2 linked regions of the Mytilus edulis genome follow. The protein of the gene in region 2 binds, or shares a complex with, the protein of the main gene of each other region. Links are inferred from orthologs where the notes say so. Each region holds a gene or a part of one and is shown on either strand. Other genes may lie near its edges. The genes, in order: nucleoporin NUP188-like and E3 SUMO-protein ligase RanBP2-like.

The links.
Region 1: E3 SUMO-protein ligase RanBP2-like (region 2) and nucleoporin NUP188-like share a complex: the UniProt entries of both Homo sapiens proteins name them as parts of the nuclear pore complex. The link is inferred for Mytilus edulis from reciprocal best matches to the Homo sapiens genes RANBP2 and NUP188.

Annotation. Positions count from the first base shown.
Region 1 is NC_092345.1:50,788,207-50,801,362, forward strand, and holds the start of nucleoporin NUP188-like, read left to right. Parts: upstream 1-7,002; 5' UTR 7,003-7,041; coding exon 7,042-7,067; intron 7,068-13,156. Other genes in the region: uncharacterized protein, read left to right, coding at 917-1,070, 2,060-2,157. UniProt on the Homo sapiens protein: Component of the nuclear pore complex (NPC), a complex required for the trafficking across the nuclear envelope. Required for proper protein transport into the nucleus.
Region 2 is NC_092348.1:12,668,836-12,681,408, forward strand, and holds the start of E3 SUMO-protein ligase RanBP2-like, read right to left. Parts: upstream 5,628-12,573; 5' UTR 5,563-5,627; coding exon 5,503-5,562; intron 2,377-5,502; coding exon 2,309-2,376; intron 944-2,308; coding exon 830-943; intron 1-829. UniProt on the Homo sapiens protein: E3 SUMO-protein ligase which facilitates SUMO1 and SUMO2 conjugation by UBE2I. Involved in transport factor (Ran-GTP, karyopherin)-mediated protein import via the F-G repeat-containing domain which acts as a docking site for substrates.

The sequences.
Region 1 (13,156 bases), on a different chromosome or scaffold from region 2:
ATAATACAAAATACGAAATACGAGCGGAGAATGATATAATGATATAACACTTAAATAAAGTGAGAACAAAAATATTATTTACTGCAATTAAATTCTAAGTTCTAAGTTATAGAGGGAAGGTTTATCTTAAATTTTATCGTGCAGTTTGAAAAAAATATACATAATAATTATTAACAACGTCAATTATTTGCAGGGCCTCCCTGTCTAGCTCAGATCCACCAAAGGGAAGATCCTACATGGATAGATCTGTCTTTGAAGGTAACGTTTTAACTAATAAAGACATTTAAAAAAAAAACACCGCGGAAAGAAAGGGAAAATACATAAATTCATACGTATCATAATAAAAACAAGGAGGTGTGGTATGATTGCAATGAAAAATACAATCCAATAGAGACAAAAGAACAATGATGTAAACAAATACAGGTCATTGTACGGTCGTCAATTAAGAAAAGAATCAAAAACCGTAGGCCTATATATATATAGTAAGCTAAAACTAAAAAAAAAAACGCATGGTCAAACAACTCAAAAAAGAAACCAACGACTGTTTTAGAATGCAATAATATCAAAAAACAATTATAGCTAGCTTATAAAGATACAGACTTGATAGTAGGCTCTAGTTATATTTCACACAGTGCCAGATTGAAACGTCTTGTCTCCTACCCGCATGAAACAACTAAGACTACGGCTATCATTTTTGATCAGACACACGATAAACAAATTTCATTTTTATAGTTATATAATAGATACATAAATATCTATAAACGAATTTTAATTTAACAGATACAAATGCATTTTGAAAAATAAAATTAATATAAAAGCATATAAGCCAAAATTCATGATCTATATATAGGCAAGATTACAACCGTCCGTCTGCTGAAGTTTCTTATGATAAATGTCATTTATTAAAATTTCACAGAACGACATTGAATTGGATATTCCCGACAAAAACGAGAGGACAATTTGGGAAAAGGAGGAGAAGAAGAAGGAAAAAAGAACAAACAAATTATTTAAAGCTGATAAGAAAAGAAGACAGAAGGAAGATAACCAATTTAAAAAGAAACAGACAAAAGGTATAACAAAAGTATATATCTGTCAGTCTTCAACAATGTGCAAAACTTAATATACGTATACCCTAAGTAAACTATAAACGGCCTTGTTTTTTTAGACAATTCAAAAATACCTGATTTATGCTACAAAATAAGATAAAACGATCTATATGTACAATAGACAGTAAGGTACGATCATAGGCTCATAGTTTGTGATAGACACAAAGCGGTGGTAAACATGTACGTGTGCGCGAAACCCCCATACATTCAAAATCTACTCTTGTACTCTAATTACATGTTCAAGGGTCTATATTGTGAAACTTTAGTGAATAGAAACTTACTCCTAAATAGAAAATTGAATAACTTAATCTTTCGTAAATAGCATGAAGTATAAACACACCTGTGTATACAGATCACAGGGATGATATAAATTTCACAATAAAAATAATAGATGTAACAAATACAGTTGTTTTGGCCTAACATATGGTGGCCGGATGCGGCCATTTCCCCTTTTTGTGTTTTCGCGTGTTCTCCTCTCACTTTTCCAACGCGAAATCGGGAAAACGAGAAATCGAGAAATTGAAAAATCGGGAAATCGGGAAATCGGGAAATCGGGAAATCGGGAAATCGAGAAATCGAGAAATCAAGAAATCGAGAAATTGGGAAATCTGGAATTCAAGAAAGCGAAAACGCGGAATCGAGAAATTCCTTTCGCGTTTTCGCGTCTTTGCTTTCGTGTTTTCTCGTTTTAGCTTTCTCGATTTCTGGATTTCCCGATTTCTCGCTTTCCCGATTTCTCGGTTTCCCTATTTCTCGATTTCCCTTTTTCTCTATTTCCCGATTTCCCGATTTCTCAATTTCTCGATTTCGCGATTTTGCTTTCTCGATTTCTCGATTTCCCGATTTCGCGTTTGAAAAGTAAGAGGAGAAATGGCGAAAATACGAAAAGGCGAAATGGCCGCATCCGGCTACCATACTTACATGTTTTTGTAGTACATTGTATTTCTTTTCAGATGGACTTAAAAAGGCAAAGAAATCAACCATCAGAGATTTTATCAATTCGCTGTTCGCTTGTTTCCGGAAACAGAAGAAAGGAGAAGAAATATTATAGACTTCTTATTAATTTTGTGATCGTTTAAATTATGTATTATATTTTCTAATTAAATCATTATTTTATTATATATCTTTTTGTTTTTAATAAAAATATTAAACTATACGCAAAACCAAACAACATAAACAGCAGCAGTTGTCCTTTTCTAGATTTAGACATTTCAATTTCAAACGGGAAACTTCACACTAAAATTTACGACAAAAGAGACGATTTTTCATTTCCTATTGTTAATTTTCCTTTTTTAGACGGCGATGTGCCTTTGGCTCCATCATACGGTGTTTATATATCGCAACTCGTTCGGTTTGCCCGTGTGTGTTCTGATGTCATAGATTTTAACGAACGTAATCAATGCATCACTGGTAAATTGTTGTGTCAGGGATTTCGATACCATAAATTACTTAAAACTTTTACTAAATTCTTTCATAGATACAAAGATTTGATTAGTAAATTTGGCTATACCTGTAGAAAGCTTATTAAAAATGGTATTTCACATCCTAAATTTTATGGTAATATTGTACTTAAATTGAGGAAATCACTATGTGATCCTTGTAAACTCATCGAACCTTTAAACAAACTTATAAGTAAGGGTTATCGTACCAATATTGTAATAAGATCTCTGAATATAGTTCACATTGGCACTAATATTGATATTGTCATTAGCAAATTAAAACATAACTAAATTTCATTATCTTTTGAGGCGAGATGTATAGAGACACAGACACGTTAACTTTTATTTCTATAGAAGTCGCTCTTCACTATACTACTACCTGTCGATACATTTATTTTTGGCATTGCACAAGTCATGTCTTCTTTGACTATTAATGACGTTAAAATACTAAATCCCTGTGATGTGTTTTAGTCGATTTTAGTCTCTGATGCATGATTTTTTATTATTAATTGGTTTTGGCTTTTAACTAGCTGTCAGTAACTGCGAGTACTCTCAAATCGTATTTTCTTGTTAATTCGACCTGTTGATACTGTTTATAATGCTTTTTTGTTATTTTTTATTTATATGGATCTTGTCTGTACACCAGCTTTGATTATTTGTATTATCTTCAATTTTTCACTTATTCTTACAACATTTGTATAAACTTCAAGATTATAAAAAAAAACGTTTTTTTTCTAAAGTTAACATTGATTGGTTAAATATTTCTCAGTCATGTCCTGCGTTTGAATTTGTTTGTTAGCTTTTTGGTCATGAATGTTTGTCTCTAATATTTAATTAACTGTGCATTTGTATTCAGATATCGCAGATCAAATTTATTCGTTCATTGTTTAATCATACGTTTTTTGATTGAGTTAAGTCTGCCAATTGATATTTTATCGTATGTTTTTCTTTGTTGTGATGTTATGCTATTGTTTCAGAAAAAGGGAGAAGGTTTGGATCCATTAAAACGTTTAATCCCGCTGCAAATGTTTGCACCTGTCCTAAGTCAGGAATCTGATGTACAGTAGTTGTCGTTTGTTTATGTAATATATACGTGTTTCTCGTTTCTCGTCTTGTTTATATAGATTAGACCGTTGGTTTTCCCGTTTGAATGGTTTTACACTAGTAATTTTGGGGCCCTTTATAGCTTGTTGTTCGGTGTGAGCCAAAGCTCCGTGTTGAAGGCCGTACTTTAACCTATAGTGGTTTACTTTTTAAATTGTTATTTGTATGGAGAGTTGTCTCATTGGCACTCACACCACATCTTCCTATATCTATTTTAAGGACATTAACAAAACCCAGTAGTACATGTATATGACCTGGTAGATGTACTATACAAATGTAGAGAACCGTTTTTGTTATTAACATGTATCGTAACTTATCAACTCTTCAGTCCAAGTTGATAACATTTGAGGAGGAGATGATTTGATCAAAGTCTTTCCAATCTTGACGAAAACTCGCGTAACATTCGTGCATATCCATCAATAATGGACGAGGGGTCAATACGTTATATATATGCAATATGGACCTGTTTCATATTTCTAGGTCTGCCAGTCGATTTATGTCGTACTTTATAATCAGCAATTTTTCAATGTGTTACTCCACTATTACTGAGTGGATGGGTATCATAAACAGTGGACAGGAACTTGAATTGGTATAGATCTGAGACATCAGCGTTCTTTTCTTATGCTTGTTCCAGCTTAGGAAGCTCGTAATCAGTATTGGAAAATGGGAACAATTTATAAAAAAGAATTGTAAAAAGGAAAAAAAATGTCAAAAGCTGTATTTTTTCAAAATATATGTTATTCAGAAATATGTCCACCAAAAAAAATTAAACTTATTATAACTATCAATGTGGTATGTCATTTTGCGTTTCGTCTAAATTTATAGATTTGATAAACTAATTGTTATGTTCAAACTGTATTAAACTAAGTAATTTTCACGTTTAGTGATGCCAGTTATTCATCTTATAAAAAAATGGGAATCTGATAAGATTGTTAATTCCACAGCTACATGTATCTATCACATGTACAATTATCTTTGTGCCATTTTCACATCTACACTAACTTTTTATAGTGAATCAGAGTCATTGTGACATATAGGAATAATTCTCTGTTGTCATATTCTGACTTTTATACAAAGAAAGTGATAAAGATAAACCGTGCTTTTGTTTCCAAAGGTTTTGGAGAAACTGCGATGACAAACAATAAAAATTAGAAGATGTAGTATAATTGTGTTATTATTGACAAAGTTGCAACAAGGTAGGGATAGCAAAAATAAAAACATCATAAATTGTAAAAGCATAATTTTTTGCAGCATTTTATTCGCATGTGTGTGGATTGTCAAACAGCGAAAATATATTTTGTAATTAAAAGTATATGATTTTGAAGTGGCCATTGCATATAAACCACTTTTATATACATGTACCCTTAAGGATAAATGTCAAAGTCAGTTTAATCTTCCATGGATCACAACAGATTTTCGTGAGGTGCTGCACGCATATGGCAAATATCAAAAGATTTTGTCACAGGGTAATCAGATCGTGTTCCAACATGCACGAAAGTATTAAAAAAAAACCTATTCACTTTGAGATCAAAGGTCAAAATATTATTGTAGGTATCTATGGCATTGACCTATGACCTACTTGCCAATTTAATGAGATTTTCTTACATTTTCTAACTAAGTACTATAATTATAGTAAAAATGTGTACAAAAGAAGCAAATTGTAAATGAATACTGTGTGTGTGTGCCTACATTGTAATGATTGCTATTGCAAACAAATGTGCAAAGTGGAGACGAGACTTCCCCTCTTTTCTTTTTTCTTTCTCTTTTATAAAAGACATGATGAATTATTATACAATAAAGATGCAAAAGTAAAAGGTATAATGTTATACACTCTATGTAATACCAGTTTGGTTCGCCAAATAATTTTCGCAATTATTTCAATTTTCTTGAGTTTTGCATATTTTTTTTACCTTATTTAAAAAAAAAACCAAAACAGATATAAAAATGTTAGTTTCATTAATTTTTTTATACCAACCTAGTACCAGACTTCCATATAGGTAGTTTAATCATAAGTGTTGCCTGGTGCAACACAATTGTGTTAGTCTCGGTAAACAACAAATAATAAATAAAGATATATCATAACAAGAATGTGTCCATATAATACGAATGCCTCATTTGCAAGGCCATTTTATGTGCTCTGTCGAACGTGAATTTGGGGTCTGAACTCCTATTTAGTATTATCATACTAAGAGAACATGTGTACTAAGTTTCAAGTTTACTGGACTTCAACTTCATCAAGATCTACCTCAGCCAAAAACTTCAAACTGAAGCGGGATAGACGAACGGACGAACGGGCGAACGGACGCACAACCTGAAAAACAGCATGCCCTTTTGACGGGTGCAAAACCATACCCAACTACCTCCTCGATGCAGATGGTCTTTCTTTTCGCACGACGATGTCCTTATCATGTTACATTCTTGAGCAGACTTGTCATTTTCAACTGTGTACCACTGTAGATGAGCAACAACTTATTGTGACAAAATCCAACACTGAATATAATCATTAAATCAATGAAAATGTATTCAAAGACTTGACAAAACAGAGACATTTATCTTCAGAAGGAAAACAAGACAGAAAATTTGAAGCCAAATGTATCAACTTCTATTGTATGAATGGGATAAACTTACCTTTCAATTCTCAAGGCTAAATAAGTATTTTATAGGCTAAATACAAACTTACCTGTCAATGTAGAATTGTAATCTGAGTGATACCGGTGTTACTCAAGTCACCATAAATGCAAACAAAACAGGCTGCTGAACAACGGTATGGGAAAAACTGGAAAGAAAGTTGGTGTGAATTATTTGCACACCCTATAGTCAGACACAAAGATGAAACACAGTTCAAGTTTGTAGTGAAATGATATTTCATGTGTAAGATTTAAATATGTACCAACACACAACAGTAAGACACTGGTTTTGACGGTAACACTTTAAAAGCATTATTTTTAGGTTGTTAAATTTAAGTTTTTGTCTGAAAACTTATAGAATATGAATGCATATTATAACTTCAAGTTAATTAGAATATCAATATCAATATGCATGCTTTGCTTAACTATCACAGGCACTCGTCTCAGAATTTTTTCCCCCTATAAACCTTTATGATATATTGATGTGTTTCCCTCAGTTTTAGTTTGTCTGAACCCGGATTTGTTTTTCTCAATCGCCGTTCACAGGCACATGTCTCGGAAATTTCTTTCCTATATACCTAAATATAACACTTATATTAAGGTAGTAAATCCCCCTCAAATAGTGACAGTTGGCAGGTGCTATTATTCATTTTTAGGAGGATGGGCTTTAAAAAAAAAAACTACCTCGGAAATTTGAAGGTCCGTCAATTGATTTTCATTTATGTACCTTTATTGTGTTTCCGGTAAAACAAAATGTGAAATGTGATGGCGGGACAGCTGAAATCTGAAAGGTTGAAGATTTTCCCTTATTTCCATAATATATTACTATTTTGATCGGTCTCATTTAATTGCCTGAACCAATTCGTCATTTCAGTGTCACAGTTTTTGTCCTTTTTCTTCCAGTTTTATAATATCGTCATTTTCGACCCTGGTTTGAAGGCAGAAATTAAAATATAATATGTGTGGTTCCAGTAACCCTAGCTGCGGAACCGTACTTTGCGGACCATGGTCCGCAAATAGTCAAAAAATAACATAAGGTAGCACTCCACAGTTAGGTGTGTAGTTTCGCATTTTGGCCCCTGTGGATTTTTCAAATATTAGAGCTAGTGTGCAATAAAATTCATTTTTGGATAGCTGAGTATTAAAATAGCCTTTGTATTGGGTTTATATGAACATCAAGAGTATGTAATATAGGCTGTTCTCTGTATGACAGTCCGTATTTGCATGTCCCTACCATACATTGGTCCGGCAATTATTGTAATGTTTTTTTCCAACTTTTTATCGCACGAACTTTGTGATTGGATTTTACGAAAAAATGAGGAGAAAGACACCCATTTTTTATTTGATCATTAGGAAGATTTATGAAAACAGTTTCTAAAAAGGTATTACTCAAAGGCATTGAAATTCTAGTTTGATCCAAATTTTGGGGGGATATGTGACATGTCCTGGCAGGTATTGTGGTACGCACTGAAACCCGGACCGGACCGGACTCCGGACCCGGACTTTGGTATGAAACCCGGACCCGGACCCGGACTGGCCGCCGGACCCGGACTGAATGCCGGACCCGGACTGTGGTTTTTTTTACCACTTCGGTTTTTTTTTAAAGATTACTGTCATATAATATATAATCAAGCATAATCAAGCATGTATATAAGTTAGATTTAAAGGGGCAGTAGCTCCGAGATATAATGAAATAATAAATAAAAATGTTCAATATAGAGAAATAATTTTATTTTAGCAGCCATTGTCAAAATAAACTAAGATACATCGCTTATGAAATATTCACGTAATCTCCGTATCCGTAGTATTCCTTTGGTAAGAAATACAGAAATAATCTTGTGTTATATATAATGAGTGGCAAAAGTTTACAAGGCCGTATACGTTAACCGGGATATTTTTTACCCCAAGATGGTACTCTGAATAAAATCTTCTGCGGCTCCTGATTGGATGATCATACAAAGTTGGAATTGCTCCAATAAAATTTAAGCAGCGATCGATCATCTATGTAATACACAATCTTGAACAAGTGAGTCCGGACTGTGACCTGACATGACCCCGGACTAGCTTGAAGTTTACTATACCTGCGTGTATTGCATTACGACGACTAACTGTATGTAAACTGTTTATTGTCGTAAAGTATATTGATGGGACATTTGATCAATCATGTAATACATAAGAAAGTTATAAGATATGTATCCGACATTTAACGAAAACATTAAATGTAATAGGCGAGTCCGGATGGTGACCTGAAGTAACCCCGGACTAGGTGTATTCGCAAACTATAGACATCGATAGAGATATAAAACTTCACAAATTATTTGATGAGACGAACTTATTCATTTTTATTCATTCAACTTTTTCCCTTATTGGATTGTCGTCGGAAACATTAATAAAAGACGTTTCCCCGAGAATCAACAAATTAATATTAGGCGAGTCCGGACTGTGACCTGATATAACCCCGGACCAGGAGTATACGGATTGTATATAAATATACTAAATTATTTGTTTAATTGAAAGATTTTTTTCCCCTTTTTGCTTTTTACATTTCCTTTATTCATTTCTCTATTTCTTTAGTTATTCGATTGTCATCGGAAAAATCAATAAACGACACTTAAGCGGCGTTCAACAATGTAATACACAATCCTGAACAAGTGAGTCCGGACTGTGACCTGACATGACCCCGGACTAGCTTGAAGTTTACTATACCTGCGTGTATTGCATTACGACGACTAACTGTATGTAAACTGTTTATTGTCGTAAAGTATATTGATGGGACATTTGATCAATCATGTAATACATAAGAAAGTTATAAGATATGTATCCGACATTTAACGAAAACATTAAATGTAATAGGCGAGTCCGGATGGTGACCTGAAGTAACCCCGGACTAGGTGTATTCGCAAACTATAGACATCGATAGAGATATAAAACTTCACAAATTATTTGATGAGACGAACTTATTCATTTTTATTCATTCAACTTTTTCCCTTATTGGATTGTCGTCGGAAACATTAATAAAAGACGTTTCCCCGAGAATCAACAAATTAATATTAGGCGAGTCCGGACTGTGACCTGATATAACCCCGGACCAGGAGTATACGGATTGTATATAAATATACTAAATTATTTGTTTAATTGAAAGATTTTTTTCCCCTTTTTGCTTTTTACATTTCCTTTATTCATTTCTCTATTTCTTTAGTTATTCGATTGTCATCGGAAAAATCAATAAACGACACTTAAGCGGCGTTCAACAATGTAATACACAATCCTGAACAAGTGAGTCCGGACTGTGACCTGACATGACCCCGGACTAGCTTGAAGTTTACTATACCTGCGTGTATTGCATTACGACGACTAACTGTATGTAAACTGTTTATTGTCGTAAAGTATATTGATGGGACATTTGATCAATCATGTAATACATAAGAAAGTTATAAGATATGTATCCGACATTTAACGAAAACATTAAATCTAATAGGCGAGTCCGGATGGTGACCTGAAGTAACCCCGGACTAGGTGTATTCGCAAACTATAGACATCGATAGAGATATAAAACTTCACAAATTATTTGATGAGACGAACTTATTCATTTTTATTCATTCAACTTTTTCCCTTATTGGATTGTCGTCGGAAACATTAATAAAAGACGTTTCCCCGAGAATCAACAAATTAATATTAGGCGAGTCCGGACTGTGACCTGATATAACCCCGGACCAGGAGTATACGGATTGTATATAAATATACTAAATTATTTGTTTAATTGAAAGATTTTTTTCCCCTTTTTGCTTTTTACATTTCCTTTATTCATTTCTCTATTTCTTTAGTTATTCGATTGTCATCGGAAAAATCAATAAACGACACTAAGCGGCGTTCAACAATGTAATACACAATCCTGAACAAGTGAGTCCGGACTGTGACCTGACATGACCCCGGACTAGCTTGAAGTTTACTATACCTGCGTGTATTGCATTACGACGACTAACTGTATGTAAACTGTTTATTGTCGTAAAGTATATTGATGGGACATTTGATCAATCATGTAATACATAAGAAAGTTATAAGATATGTATCCGACATTTAACGAAAACATTAAATGTAATAGGCGAGTCCGGATGGTGACCTGAAGTAACCCCGGACTAGGTGTATTCGCAAACTATAGACATCGATAGAGATATAAAACTTCACAAATTATTTGATGAGACGAACTTATTCATTTTTATTCATTCAACTTTTTCCCTTATTGGATTGTCGTCGGAAACATTAATAAAAGACGTTTCCCCGAGAATCAACAAATTAATATTAGGCGAGTCCGGACTGTGACCTGATATAACCCCGGACCAGGAGTATACGGATTGTATATAAATATACTAAATTATTTGTTTAATTGAAAGATTTTTTTCCCCTTTTTGCTTTTTACATTTCCTTTATTCATTTCTCTATTTCTTTAGTTATTCGATTGTCATCGGAAAAATCAATAAACGACACTTAAGCGGCGTTCAACAATGTAATACACAATCCTGAACAAGTGAGTCCGGACTGTGACCTGACATGACCCCGGACTAGCTTGAAGTTTACTATACCTGCGTGTATTGCATTACGACGACTAACTGTATGTAAACTGTTTATTGTCGTAAAGTATATTGATGGGACATTTGATCAATCATGTAATACATAAGAAAGTTATAAGATATGTATCCGACATTTAACGAAAACATTAAATGTAATAGGCGAGTCCGGATGGTGACCTGAAGTAACCCCGGACTAGGTGTATTCGCAAACTATAGACATCGATAGAGATATAAAACTTCACAAATTATTTGATGAGACGAACTTATTCATTTTTATTCATTCAACTTTTTCCCTTATTGGATTGTCGTCGGAAACATTAATAAAAGACGTTTCCCCGAGAATCAACAAATTAATATTAGGCGAGTCCGGACTGTGACCTGATATAACCCCGGACCAGGAGTATACGGATTGTATATAAATATACTAAATTATTTGTTTAATTGAAAGATTTTTTTCCCCTTTTTGCTTTTTACATTTCCTTTATTCATTTCTCTATTTCTTTAGTTATTCGATTGTCATCGGAAAAATCAATAAACGACACTAAGCGGCGTTCAACAATGTAATACACAATCCTGAACAAGTGAGTCCGGACTGTGACCTGACATGACCCCGGACTAGCTTGAAGTTTACTATACCTGCGTGTATTGCATTACGACGACTAACTGTATGTAAACTGTTTATTGTCGTAAAGTATATTGATGGGACATTTGATCAATCATGTAATACATAAGAAAGTTATAAGATATGTATCCGACATTTAACGAAAACATTAAATGTAATAGGCGAGTCCGGATGGTGACCTGAAGTAACCCCGGACTAGGTGTATTCGCAAACTATAGACATCGATAGAGATATAAAACTTCACAAATTATTTGATGAGACGAACTTATTCATTTTTATTCATTCAACTTTTTCCCTTATTGGATTGTCGTCGGAAACATTAATAAAAGACGTTTCCCCGAGAATCAACAAATTAATATTAGGCGAGTCCGGACTGTGACCTGATATAACCCCGGACCAGGAGTATACGGATTGTATATAAATATACTAAATTATTTGTTTAATTGAAAGATTTTTTTCCCCTTTTTGCTTTTTACATTTCCTTTATTCATTTCTCTATTTCTTTAGTTATTCGATTGTCATCGGAAAAATCAATAAACGACACTAAGCGGCGTTCAACAATGTAATACACAATCCTGAACAAGTGAGTCCGGACTGTGACCTGACATGACCCCGGACTAGCTTGAAGTTTACTATACCTGCGTGTATTGCATTACGACGACTAACTGTATGTAAACTGTTTATTGTCGTAAAGTATATTGATGGGACATTTGATCAATCATGTAATACATAAGAAAGTTATAAGATATGTATCCGACATTTAACGAAAACATTAAATGTAATAGGCGAGTCCGGATGGTGACCTGAAGTAACCCCGGACTAGGTGTATTCGCAAACTATAGACATCGATAGAGATATAAAACTTCACAAATTATTTGATGAGACGAACTTATTCATTTTTATTCATTCAACTTTTTCCCTTATTGGATTGTCGTCGGAAACATTAATAAAAGACGTTTCCCCGAGAATCAACAAATTAATATTAGGCGAGTCCGGACTGTGACCTGATATAACCCCGGACCAGGAGTATACGGATTGTATATAAATATACTAAATTATTTGTTTAATTGAAAGATTTTTTTCCCCTTTTTGCTTTTTACATTTCCTTTATTCATTTCTCTATTTCTTTAGTTATTCGATTGTCATCGGAAAAATCAATAAACGACACTTAAGCGGCGTTCAACAATGTAATACACAATCCTGAACAAGTGAGTCCGGACTGTGACCTGACATGACCCCGGACTAGCTTGAAGTTTACTATACCTGCGTGTATTGCATTACGACGACTAACTGTATGTAAACTGTTTATTGTCGTAAAGTATATTGATGGGACATTTGATCAATCATGTAATACATAAGAAAGTTATAAGATATGTATCCGACATTTAACGAAAACATTAAATGTAATAGGCGAGTCCGGATGGTGACCTGAAGTAACCCCGGACTAGGTGTATTCGCAAACTATAGACATCGATAGAGATATAAAACTTCACAAATTATTTGATGAGACGAACTTATTCATTTTTATTCATTCAACTTTTTCCCTTATTGGATTGTCGTCGGAAACATTAATAAAAGACGTTTCCCCGAGAATCAACAAATTAATATTAGGCGAGTCCGGACTGTGACCTGATATAACCCCGGACCAGGAGTATACGGATTGTATATAAATATACTAAATTATTTGTTT
Region 2 (12,573 bases):
AGCCAGTCCTAAAAAAATCGTGTCAATTTGATCCTAAAATAAAAATAATAACATATTTTATCCAAAAGTAACTTTATTATTATTAGTTTTATTTTTCACAGCCACGGACAAATTAATAATGAAGGACCAGTTCTGATCTTCTGATTGTTCTTAATTAAAGTCATTTCTCTATCTATTTCATCAACTGAATCATTTTCTCGGTATTTGTTATCTCCATCTAAGATTTCAATCGCCGATTGTTTGCCATGAACAAATTTAGCAGGCCATGTGTAGATCGGCACTTTGGTTTCCATAGGTTTCAGTTTGTTTATAACAGGAAACCAGTACCGGAAATTAGCAGCAGGTACATCTGAAGACCGATGTAAACGGCACATATTGGAATTAGTTGCGGTACAACTAATTACCGATAAAAAAGGCACTGCAACGGCCGTTTTTACATCGGTCATGGGGACCGACACTAGCTTTCAATATACTGGTCCGAGCCTCATTTTGACTGATAAGACCGACAGGACTGACCATTTTCGCGAACTCTGAGCTTAATGTTACAGTGAATCTGTTTTAGTTTGCAATGGTCCTCTTATTCTTTGGTAAAAAAAAAACATGTTGATAAAAATTCCGTTCATTCCACTTGACAAATATTAACCTGATCCAAACTTTATCTATCACCAGTTTTTATATCTTGCATGTAAACTAAATTATTTAACATTTTATCAGCTGGATTTTTTACTGGTTTATAAATTTGCTTCTGTATGTAAAACATATGTATACAATGTCACTAGATTATAAACAAATTTGTATTTTGATAACATATATATGTCTATAAACATACCTCTTGTAACTTTCAATGGCATCTTCTTTGTTTTTGCTGGATTCTAAAATCTGTCCCATTAACTTATGAGCCTGGGGTACATTCTCTCTGGTACTGATGTAAGATGCTAGGTATCTAAAAGTCCAAAATCAATGCAATTAAAAGACAATCTTTATATTGTACAGATAACCATGTCAAAAATAAAATAATACAATGTATTCAAAATTTACAATAAAGCTTTTCAGATACATCTATTATTCATCTTTATGAAAATGAGAAAGAAAGGATTCAAATTTCTTTTCACAAACTAACAAATTGCTTACGACTCCAGCCATCATGACAAATAAAGTGATGAACTCAGGAATTAATTTGACTGAGTTTACAAAGTATTTTTCAGATTTCAAAGGAAAAGAACATTTGAAAAATGACTTGCTTCAAGTGCGATTTACCATGTTTACATAATTAAATGTTGACTTGATAACTTATAAACGTTCCACAAATATTGCTCATTTGTCATTTTTCATTAGAGTTCCTCATTTCAGATTAGCTTCTCTTATCCACAATGAATTATTCAACATATCTAAGCCTCCTCACTCCTGAGATCTCAATATTTTCCTAAATTAAATATTGACATAAATAAGTTCTGTGACACAGGGTAATTGTTAATTTTATCTATAGGATTACCTATGCACAGAATCAAAACATGTTTCATTACAGCTAATTTCATTGAGTGTGAAGGCAAAGGTAATATCTTTTGTTAGCTTGATTGCTAGCTGAACTGTGAAGTCATTATTATGTAAGGTATACTACCCTCCTGTCAAAATAGCATTGTCCTACAAACAGATAGATTTGTTATCTGTCTGACTAGATTACTCTGAAAAGAGGGGAGTTTACCTTTCCTAATAATGATTTCACTGTTCAGCTAGCAAGCAAGCTAACCAAATATACTACCTTTGCCTACATACTCGATGGAATCGGCTGTAAAACATTAAAAAACAAGAATGTGTCCATAGTACACGGATGCCCCACTCGCATTATCATTTTCTATGTTCAGTAGACCGTGAAATTGGGGTCAAAACTCTAATTTTGCAATTAAATTAGAAAGATCATATCATAGGGAACATGTACATGTGTACTAAGTTTGAAGTTGATTGGACTTCAACTTCATCAAAAACTACCTTGACCAAAAACTTTAACCTGAAACTTGCACTATTATTTTCTATGTTCAGTGGACCGTGAAATTGGAGTCAAAAGTCTAATTTGGCAATTAAATTAGAAAGATCATATCATAGGGAACATGTGTACTAAGTTTGAAGTTGATTGGACTTCAACTTCATCAAAAGCTACCTTGACCAAAAACTTTAACCTGAACGAAGGGACGGAAGGACGGACGCACAGACCAGAAAACATAATGCCCCTCTACTATTGTAGGTGGGGCATAAAAAGTAGATATACATGTACATTATACATGTCCTCATGGTCATGATGTGAAGTCAATACCTTTTAGCAGTTTCATAGTCACCAGCTTCATTGTATAACACAGATATCTGGTATCCTCGGGAAGTTTTCTGAAAGAAAATGAATGGTACATTGTATACAAATCTGTTAATATAAATTAAATGTTATATCAATTATAATACAGTAAAAACAGTCAGATAATCACGGCGATATAGGTCATTAGTAGCTATGTCAGGAAAAAAATTAAAGTTTACTTTCCATGTATTTTTTCTAAATATTCAATAATGTATGACCTTCACCTGTCTCAAAACACCAAGCAATTTGATTGGTTGTCTCTTGAAACTATTAAATTCCCCTTTCCAAAAATTTGATATCAAAGGGACTTTCCATTCAAAGTGTTTTAGCCAAGAGAGGTAACTCTAATTTGTTTTTGTTCAAATCATTGAATGATTGACACTTTGCTTTTATAGTCTGTTTCTTCAAATTAGTTCTGCAAAGTTAAAGTAACATTTTATTGATAACATTATATATATTGATTGTTTTAAATATATATTGAACAAATATTAAAATATGATTTTTACAATCTTAATTGCGTTTTTTTTATATTTGAAAAATATGTATCTACATTTTATCACATGATTGAAACCCAACTGACTTTTTTCATGATACACATGTCCGAAGTCATGACTCTTATGTTCTGAAGTTGTCGCTTGTTGATGTGTTGGCGTTTCTCTTTTTTTAAATACTGGTAGAATATATCTATTTCAATACCCTTTATCATGTTTATAACTAATTGTTCGGTGTGAGCCAAGACTGTGATGAAGAACTTACCTTGACCTATAATGGTTTACTTTTATAAATTGTGACTTTGACAGAGATTTGTCTCATTTGCACTTATACCACATCTTCTTTGATCTATTATGTTATAATGCACCTTGTATTATAAAAAAGAATGTAAATAAGGAAGCGCCGTTTCTTGTTGTATATCACTTCTGCTTTTTATTTATTATTTTGTACATAAATCAGGTTTATTCTTTTCTTCATTCTTATAAATCATTTTATAAGTATCAATTAAAGGCATTTCAATTACTATGGAGTATGGATTTTCCCCATTGTTGAAGGTGCTATGATAAATTGCTCAATAAATATTGAAACCATGAATTAAAAAATGCAATCACATACATTTTTTCTTTCATTATAGAGGTCTGTTCCTTAATACTGTTTAGTTGAAACGGTTTTGTTATTTAATATAAGCCAGATCTCCAATTATATACTTATAAACGAATGAGAGCTGTGTGGAATTTATGGATTAATGAATAAGTAAAAATAATATTGTATTTTTTTTTTACAACATTGACTACACATGAGAGTGTTGCAAATACGATAATACTATAAATATCAACAATAGTGACAGATTAGCCATGCTTGACTTCAACCGGAATATATAAAATACAAGATGTGGTATTATTGCCACGGTGATATATACACCAGACCCCACAATGTCACAGCTATATTCATTCACAACTGTAGGTTACTTTTTTTTCTCTTGATAAACAACTGTAGGTTACTATAGAGCCTTTAGTTTTCGCAGTAGTGTAGTGTTTAAAAATCTTAACTCTATATAAAAACATCAAATGTTCCAAAAATTGGTGAGTCAAAAATTTATATATTTCAAAAAAGACAAAAAATAACCAAATGTTGATAAATATTTTCTTGAACCTAATTGTAAATACTACTTTTTATTAATTGTTGTGTAATTTATCATAATTAAATATTAGGTTAAATAATTATTAGTATGATTGAAACAACAAGCTTATTCAAGGGAGATAACAATTGCAGTTCTGGTCCATTCTTGTGTAGATTTCGCTCACAATAAATCACAATAAATCTATTCATTCATTAATATTTACATCATGTACTATTATTATTGTTATTGTAACAATTTATTTTTTACACAAACATGTACACCCCCCTCTTTTAACGAGGATCAATCGACAGCTGTTACTTTTGATTAAATAAACACTGTCGTTATTTAAAAAAACAGATTTATATTGACATGATGTGTATTGAAGTTCACTGAATACATGTGTGGTTGAATCAGTATTTGACCCCATACTACACATTACAACCGATGGAGTCACCTAATATATCCACCCCCCTTTTTAAACAAAGCTAGTTACACACACTAGTCTATTCAAATATCTTCAATTATGCTTTCATACTAATATATTAACTGATTACATTAATAAGGTGAGTTGTTATTATATCAAATATATTTCAGCCATTTACACATAACCAAAAAAAAAAATAATGGACTATAATGTCAAGGGAGACAACTATCGACATCTTTTTGAAAAAGATTCATTTAGAGATAATTACACATTTTACTTAAAATTAATTGATATGAAATGTCTTAGATCATCATTTAGTACATGTCTTTAAAAGGTTTTTGAAGGGAGAGACGATAAACAAATTAATTTGCCTATATAATTCAACAACGTCACCGTTGATTCATTTTAACAAAAAGTAAACCTTAATAACAACACTTTGACACTTTTGTTTGTTACAAAACATATTTAAATCGTTCATATTATGCTTAAAGATTGTTACAAAAGTGTAATTTTGAGAAAGTATCGCTTGCCTACCTCAGTTTAGTGATCGGTCAAAATATTCCCTGTGGAAAGTAAAACACGTGGTATCGTAAACGGTTCAAGGCCAAATTTGTTATATAGTTATCGTTCTTGAAGAACTCTTTTGTGTACCTCCTTTGGTCTCCTGACGATGCTATCATTAGTGTTACCCCTCTTAAAGTCCAACTGAAAATATGAGTTCGGCGTTAAGACGTTGATGTACGGTGTCAAAGAAAAGAAGCATAAAAGCCTTTCATAATTATTTGGACTATTATTTACATAGCATTCAGAATATTTTAAGTTACCCCGTTTGGTCTTCTGGTTCCAACCTGATTTATTGGCAATATCAACGCCAACCATTTCTTGCCATTATAAATATTGGAGAATTGACTTCAACAGAACATTAACACAATTCATTATTTCAATCTGTATTTATTAACTTCTTGCTTGGTATCATTATTGACTATTGTACAGAACACATTGTCCTATCTCTCCCCCTTTTTTCTCAGAACTCATGTCATGACAGAAGCCACTTTCACTTTCAAATATTACTTTAAACTTCGTCCAGAGAAATTATTTTTGTGATTGAACATTCTGAAGTATTACCTCTTTTTCAGGGATATGAGATACATATCTATCGACGTCTTTTCTATTGCGTCTTGACATTTTTCATTCATTCACTTTCGTTCATGCCGGCGGATTACAAAAAACTTTAAAATATGAACCAATAAGATTACATTTTACAACTACCACCTCAATCGGACCAATCAAATTCGGTGTAATATTTTTAAGTTTGCCGCTTACTTCGTATAGTATCGGATATTTTCTTCATCAAGTCCCATAAACCCAAATACACTCGATCAAATTCCCGGGAACCACTAATGACAGGACGATTGCCCGGATAGTGACAGGACGGTTGACCGGACGACATATATATAGTCATAACTTTTTTGTTATCCGATAGATTTGTTTAATATTTGTAAACCTGAAAGATATTAAACTATATTTTATGAATATAAAAAAAAAGAGGAAAAATAATTATTTTTGAGCAAAAAAAGTTGACCGGACGGTATTCACACTCGCCAATATACGCTAAATATATATTCAACTGGTTGACGACAAGTGTTAATATCTCTTTTGTTTTACAATATTTGTCGATGAAACTCAGGAATCTGTGAGATTTATAAATATGTTATACGAAAATATAAACTTGATTGCAAAAAAACGTGTTTTTCTCAAAAAAAAGTTGACCGGACGGTATTCACCCTCGCCGATATACGCTATATATATATTGAAATGGTCGACGACAAGTGTTAATATCTCTTTTGTTTTACAATAGTTGTCGATGAAACTCAAGAATCTGTGAGATTGAATAATATATTACACGAAAATATAAACTTTAGGGTAAAAAAGAAAACAAATCTGCAAAAAAAGTTGACCGGACGGTATTCACCCTAGCCGATATACGCTATATATATTTTCAACTGGTCGACGACAAGTGTTGATATCTCTTTTGTTTTACAATATTTTATCATGAAATTCAGGAATCTGTGAGAATAATAAATATTGGATACGACAATATAAACTTTATAGTGAAAAAAAAAGTTTGTCTCCAAAAAAAGTTGACCGGACGGTGTTCACATTCGCCGATGTACGCGTTAATTATATTGAACTGATACAAATAAGTGTCAATATCTTATTTGTTTTACAATATTTTTACACGAAACTAAGAAATCTACCAGATCAATAAATACTTGATATTAAAATATAAACTTTATAGTAAATAAAAATGTTTTTCTTCAAAAAAAGATGACCGGACGGAACAAACATTCGCCGTTATATGCCTTAATATAAGTTGGTAGACCCAAGTGTTTATATCTCTTTTATTTTATCAAATTTATGAAATCTGAGAGATCAATAAGTACTTAATATGAAAATATAAACCTTATATCAAATATGTTAAATGTTGTTCTTAAAAAAAAAAGTTGATCTGAGGGAATTAACATTCGACGATATTATTATTTAAATATATTGAACTGATCAACACAAGTTTTAATATCTCTTCATTTTTATAATATATCTGTCCATGAAATGAAATAATTTGTGAGATTAGATAAATATTTTACAAGAAAAATAAACTTTAAAGTAAAAACAATGAGCCCAAAATGTTTATGTGAGCGAGTTCACCAATGCATATTAGAAGTAATGATATTTAATCAAATTAATCTAATTTTGACACTTGTTGTAATCACCAATCAAGCCAAATAACATGTCATTAAAGTTTTCACACCTGAGACATCAAATACATTTAATTGAATTACCTTATAATCAGTTGGTAATTAGTATCCAATTAAAGAAGAAATTTTATGAAGTTCAGGATTTCAGATTAACATTTAACTCACCTAATAATAACTATTCAATTGTTCAGTCATTTATGCTCTGACTTTCAACCAGTTCAGATCACACAAATTATATTTCTACTATATTTTGCTTTTTGCATGTCTTTTTAAAGACAATTTTCAATATATATTCATTATTGAACTATTGATATAGATAGATTGATAGTTGTGTTACTATATATATTGCTTTATTCAAAAGCATGTCTTTTTAAAGACAGTTGTCAAACATATATTTATAAATACAAAAGTAAACAGATTGATATTAGTGCTACTATATATTGCTTTATTTAAAGGCATGTCTTTTTAAAGACAGTTGTATAGCCATCATATTAGTACAACTTACCAGTAGACAAAATATCAAAATGGACAGTGGGTCTATTGTCTATATGCATACAGATGTATTACATCAAACAGAAATAGTAGATATTTTAACTAAACCTGAAACATCTTGTACATCGAATGTTCCCCCTTATAAGCCAAAGGCAAACGAAGTTTACTTGTTTCAAACTGGTGCAGATGATTGGAAATGTGACCAATATCTGTGGATAAATAATGGTACAAAATCAGTCACCATTGGTAATGATGTTCTTAAAAAACATTTTTACAAAATCCGATTACCAGGAACAACAGACAAAACAAACGGTAGAAAAAGACCAGTTGGTTCTTTACAGTTTAAGAAAACTGCATATAGTTTGAAAAGTAACAAAAGCTTAATACTTGTGCATTATGAGGGAGATGAGACGGTATATGTACCCGTTGGCCATGGGAACAGCAAAAAGTCAGATCCCCCTGAGTATACACGCACTGCTCCTTCTGTATTAAGAAAAATAGAGCAAGACATAAGGTCAGGTGAAAAAACTGCCATGGATGTTTACAGAGAAAGCATATCAAATGGTTCAGTTTCTGGTGAACACCAAGGGGTGCTAAATGCTAGAAATGTGAAACAAGTTGAAAACCTAGTAAGGAAAGTCAATGAGGAAGAAAGACTGAGCAAAGATGATATATATAACCTTTTGCTATTGGCATATCATATGGATGGATTCATCCATGAGGTGACAGTTTTCCCTGATTTGAGTTCAATCATTGCTTTGCCAGAAATGATTTCTATCGTTAACCAGTTACTTGATGTTAACACTGAAGATGATGTTCCTTTTGTTTTCTTCTATGATACCACTTTTAAGTGTGGAGACTTCTTTGTTTCACCCCTAGTTTTCAGAAATATAATTTTTGAAGATAGACCTATAATGCCTGTAGCTTTCTTGATACATAGTAGAAAGAAGGAGAAGACACATGCACGTTTCTTTGAATTCGTTGCATCGTCATTTCCAAAAATAAACAAAACCTCAGTCCCTTTCGTAACTGATAGGGAGATTGGTCTTGTAAATGCAATCAGAAAGAACTTCCCATCTTGTGATGTTCTTATGTGCTGGAATCATTTAATAAAAAATTTAAAATTTAATCTTCAGCAAATGGGCGCTGATCAGTCAAACACAGCCCTGTATGTTTCACATTTGAAAGACCTCCTAAGGTCTGACTCTGAAGCAGAGTATATGACATTAAAAGATGAATTAATCAGAAAGTGGTCAAAACCGGTAGTAGTATACTTTGAAAAGATGGAAAAGGACATTCTTACTCACAGTGGCAAATGGGTAATTGATAAATACCAAAACCTTTATGATCCATATTCTGGCATTACCAATAATGCATGTGAAAGCATGAATGCAGTTATAAAAAGGCTTAATAAATATAGAGAGTTGCCAGTTGACTGCTTCGTGCTTAGCATGTTTTACTTGCAGAATTACTATATCAATGAGGTGCAAAGGGGTCTGGCTGGCATTGGTAACTATACATTAAGAACCAAATTTAACCATGCTTCTATACCAAAAGATGAAATCAATGTTCCAAAGCAGTTGGTTAAACCTGCTGACATTGTAAAGCATGTTATGTCAGAAATAGATAATGTTCGAGACACATGCTCTAAGGATCATGTCTCAGTAGAGACAGAGTCTTCCAAAATAGAGGGTGCAAATATATTGCCATTAGTATCTGAGACTTCAGATGGGACAGAAAACCCCACCATGTCTAGTCCCATTGCTGAAGAAAATGTCACAGCGCCTTCCCAAATAGAGGGGACAAATATATTACCATTAGTATCTGATAGTTCAGAGGGGACAGAAAGCTCCTCCATGTCCATTAAAACTTCAGATAAAAACTTGTCCCAAAAATCCCTGGCCAAGTTGACTGTTGATAATGGTCAAGTGTCGTTTATTGAACAACACAAGGCATTTATGGTCAGAGGCACATTTCAATTAAACTCCCAGAAGTGCAACGTCAGCCAAATGGTTATGATTGTGGGGTTTACTCCATAGCAAATTTGCTTGAATTTTGCTTTAATGGAGGTACTTCCAACTTCAAAAACAAAACAGCTTTTGAACCAACTGGTATGAGAGAGCATTTGATTAAATGCCTTGAACTGGGATACTTTTCTAAATTCCCTCAATCACTAAATTCTTGTGCTGACTCAGTCAAGATGCACACAAGAAAAATTGAATGTAGCTGTGTTTGTGGTAAGCCTGATATATTGGAAAATATGTTTGGATGTGAAGGCAAACGAGGACGTGTCACTTGCAGCAAGTGGGTTCACCAGAGTTGTTCCAATGTTTTAGGGGACTGGCTCTGTGATGAACACCGTTCAACTGTCTAATTTGTATTAATTTTTCGTATAATATATTTATTCATTTCCAATGTTCATAAATTTCAGGGACAGATATGGTAAAAAAAATAACCAATTTATTATTATTAACATATATCGGCGAATGTTAGCTGTCCGGTCAACTTTTTTTTTAAGAAAAATATTTTTTTTATCATAGAGTTTATATTTTCATATCATATATTTATTTATCTCGCACATATCTCAGTTTTATGAAAAAATATTGTTTACAAAAAAAATATTTACATTTTTTGTCAACGCGTACATCGGCGAGGGTGAATACCGTCCGGTCAACTTTTTTTGCAGATTTTTTTTCTTTTTTACTTTAAAGTTTATATTTTCGTGTAATATACTATTCAATCTCACAGGTTCCTGATTTTCATGGACAAATATTGTAAAACAAAAGAGATATTAACACTTGTCGTCGACCATTTCAATATATATATAGCGTATATCGGCGAGGGTGAATACCGTCCGGTCAACTTTTTTTTGAGAAAAACACGTTTTTTTGCAATCAAGTTTATATTTTCGTATAACATATTTATAAATCTCACAGATTCCTGAGTTTCATCGACAAATATTGTAAAACAAAAGAGATATTAACACTTGTCGTCAACCAGTTGAATATATATATAGCGTATATCGGCGAGGGTGAATACCGTCCGGTCAACTTTTTTTTGAGAAAAACACGTTTTTTTGCAATCAAGTTTATATTTTCGTATAATATATTTATAAATCTCACAGATTCTTGAGTTTCATCGACAACTATTGTAAAACAAAAGAGATATTAACACTTGTCGTCGACCATTTCAATATATATATAGCGTATATCGGCGAGGGTGAATACCGTCCGGTCAACTTTTTTTTTAGAAAAACACGTTCTTTTGCAATCAAGTTTATATTTTCGTATAATATATTTATAAATCTCACAGATTCCTGAGTTTCATGGACAAATATTGTAAAACAAAAGAGATATTAACACTTGTCGTCAACCAGTTGAATATATATTTAGCGTATATTGGCGAGTGTGAATACCGTCCGGTCAACTTTTTTTGCTCAAAAATAATTATTTTTCCTCTTTTTTTTTTATATTCATAAAATATAGTTTAATATCTTTCAGGTTTGCAAATATTAAACAAATCTATCGGATAACAAAAAAGTTATGACTATTTATATGTCGTCCGGTCAACCGTCCTGTCACTATCCGGGCAATCATCCTGTCATTAGTGCAACCCCAAATTCCCGCGGTTTTTAAACTCGACAATGATTATTTTTCTGTTTTGGCACTGTGGTTATTTTGACGGCAATTTTGGCGACTCTGATTAAAATATATTTATTCAAGACGGCAAAATAGCCTTTTTCTATAGAAATGGTTATTTACCGGCACCAGCAAAACTTATTGAAATTTAACTGCCAAATAAAATGAGGAAAGAAATGCCATTGGGTCAGTTTAAAAGTTTGGTTGGTATAATTGGGAGGGCAGTTCGTGTCAGTGTTCCTCCTGCAGATCTCAATGAGCTGTAGATCAGTTTATTTATTTATCTTGTATACAGTACTGGCTTTTAAATTATTTGGCATAATTTCTTTTTTTTTTTTTTTTGTGTTCTTAATGCTCGAATTACTTTTAGTGATTTATAATAGCTATTGCATGAATGTTAGTTTGTCTGCATTTTATGTTTGCTTATATGCTTTAATTGTGCTTATTAATTTCTGTGCTTGATGACATTATTTATGAGGGGGGATAGGACCTTTACCGGGACTCCGGGATCGGGTGTTTTTAAGCTCGGGATTTCGGGATTGACCCTTTCCGAGTTTCGGGATCCGGGAATTCTTTTATCGAAATTCGGGACCTCGGGATTTCGTGTTTTTTAAGCCCGGGATTTCGGGATTTCGTGTTTTTAAGCTCGGGATTTCGGGATCAGGACCCCTCCTACCCTCCCTCATTTATTGCATGATGTGCTCTATGTTTTATGTGTTTTATGTATTGTGCTTGTCTTATATGAATGTCGGATAAAAGCTCTAAAGAGCTTATGTTGTATTGTTATATGTATAACCGACTTTAAATAAATCTTTTATGCTTTATGCTTTATGCTTTAACTTGACATTCACTTTTGAAATGTGCACTGACTGTAGCACTGTAAGCATAACATAATCAAATAATTACTAGAAAACTATTAGTTTAATACAAAAACAGCGAACAATATTTGAGTCATATATAATCGTTTAATAGCATTTATCAGTCAAAGTGTAAATAATTATTAAGAATTTATAGGTAAGAAACAAAATATTGAGCATCCATTTGTTGCAGTGAAATCATATCTAAACATGTACTTTGAATTATTTCTAAAATAAGTCAATCGAATGCATTATGTATGCATAAGAATAAAATCTTATAAAGATAAAGATATTTTCATCAGAACCGTCAAAATAGCAATTTTTTTATATTTTGCCGGTGTCGACAAAACAGTCTCTGCCTTCGAGTTTTCGGTATAAATCTTATTTAAAAAAATACTATTTTTCAAACTTCTGGAACGTTTTTCCAAGAAAATGCACCGAGACTATTTTTTC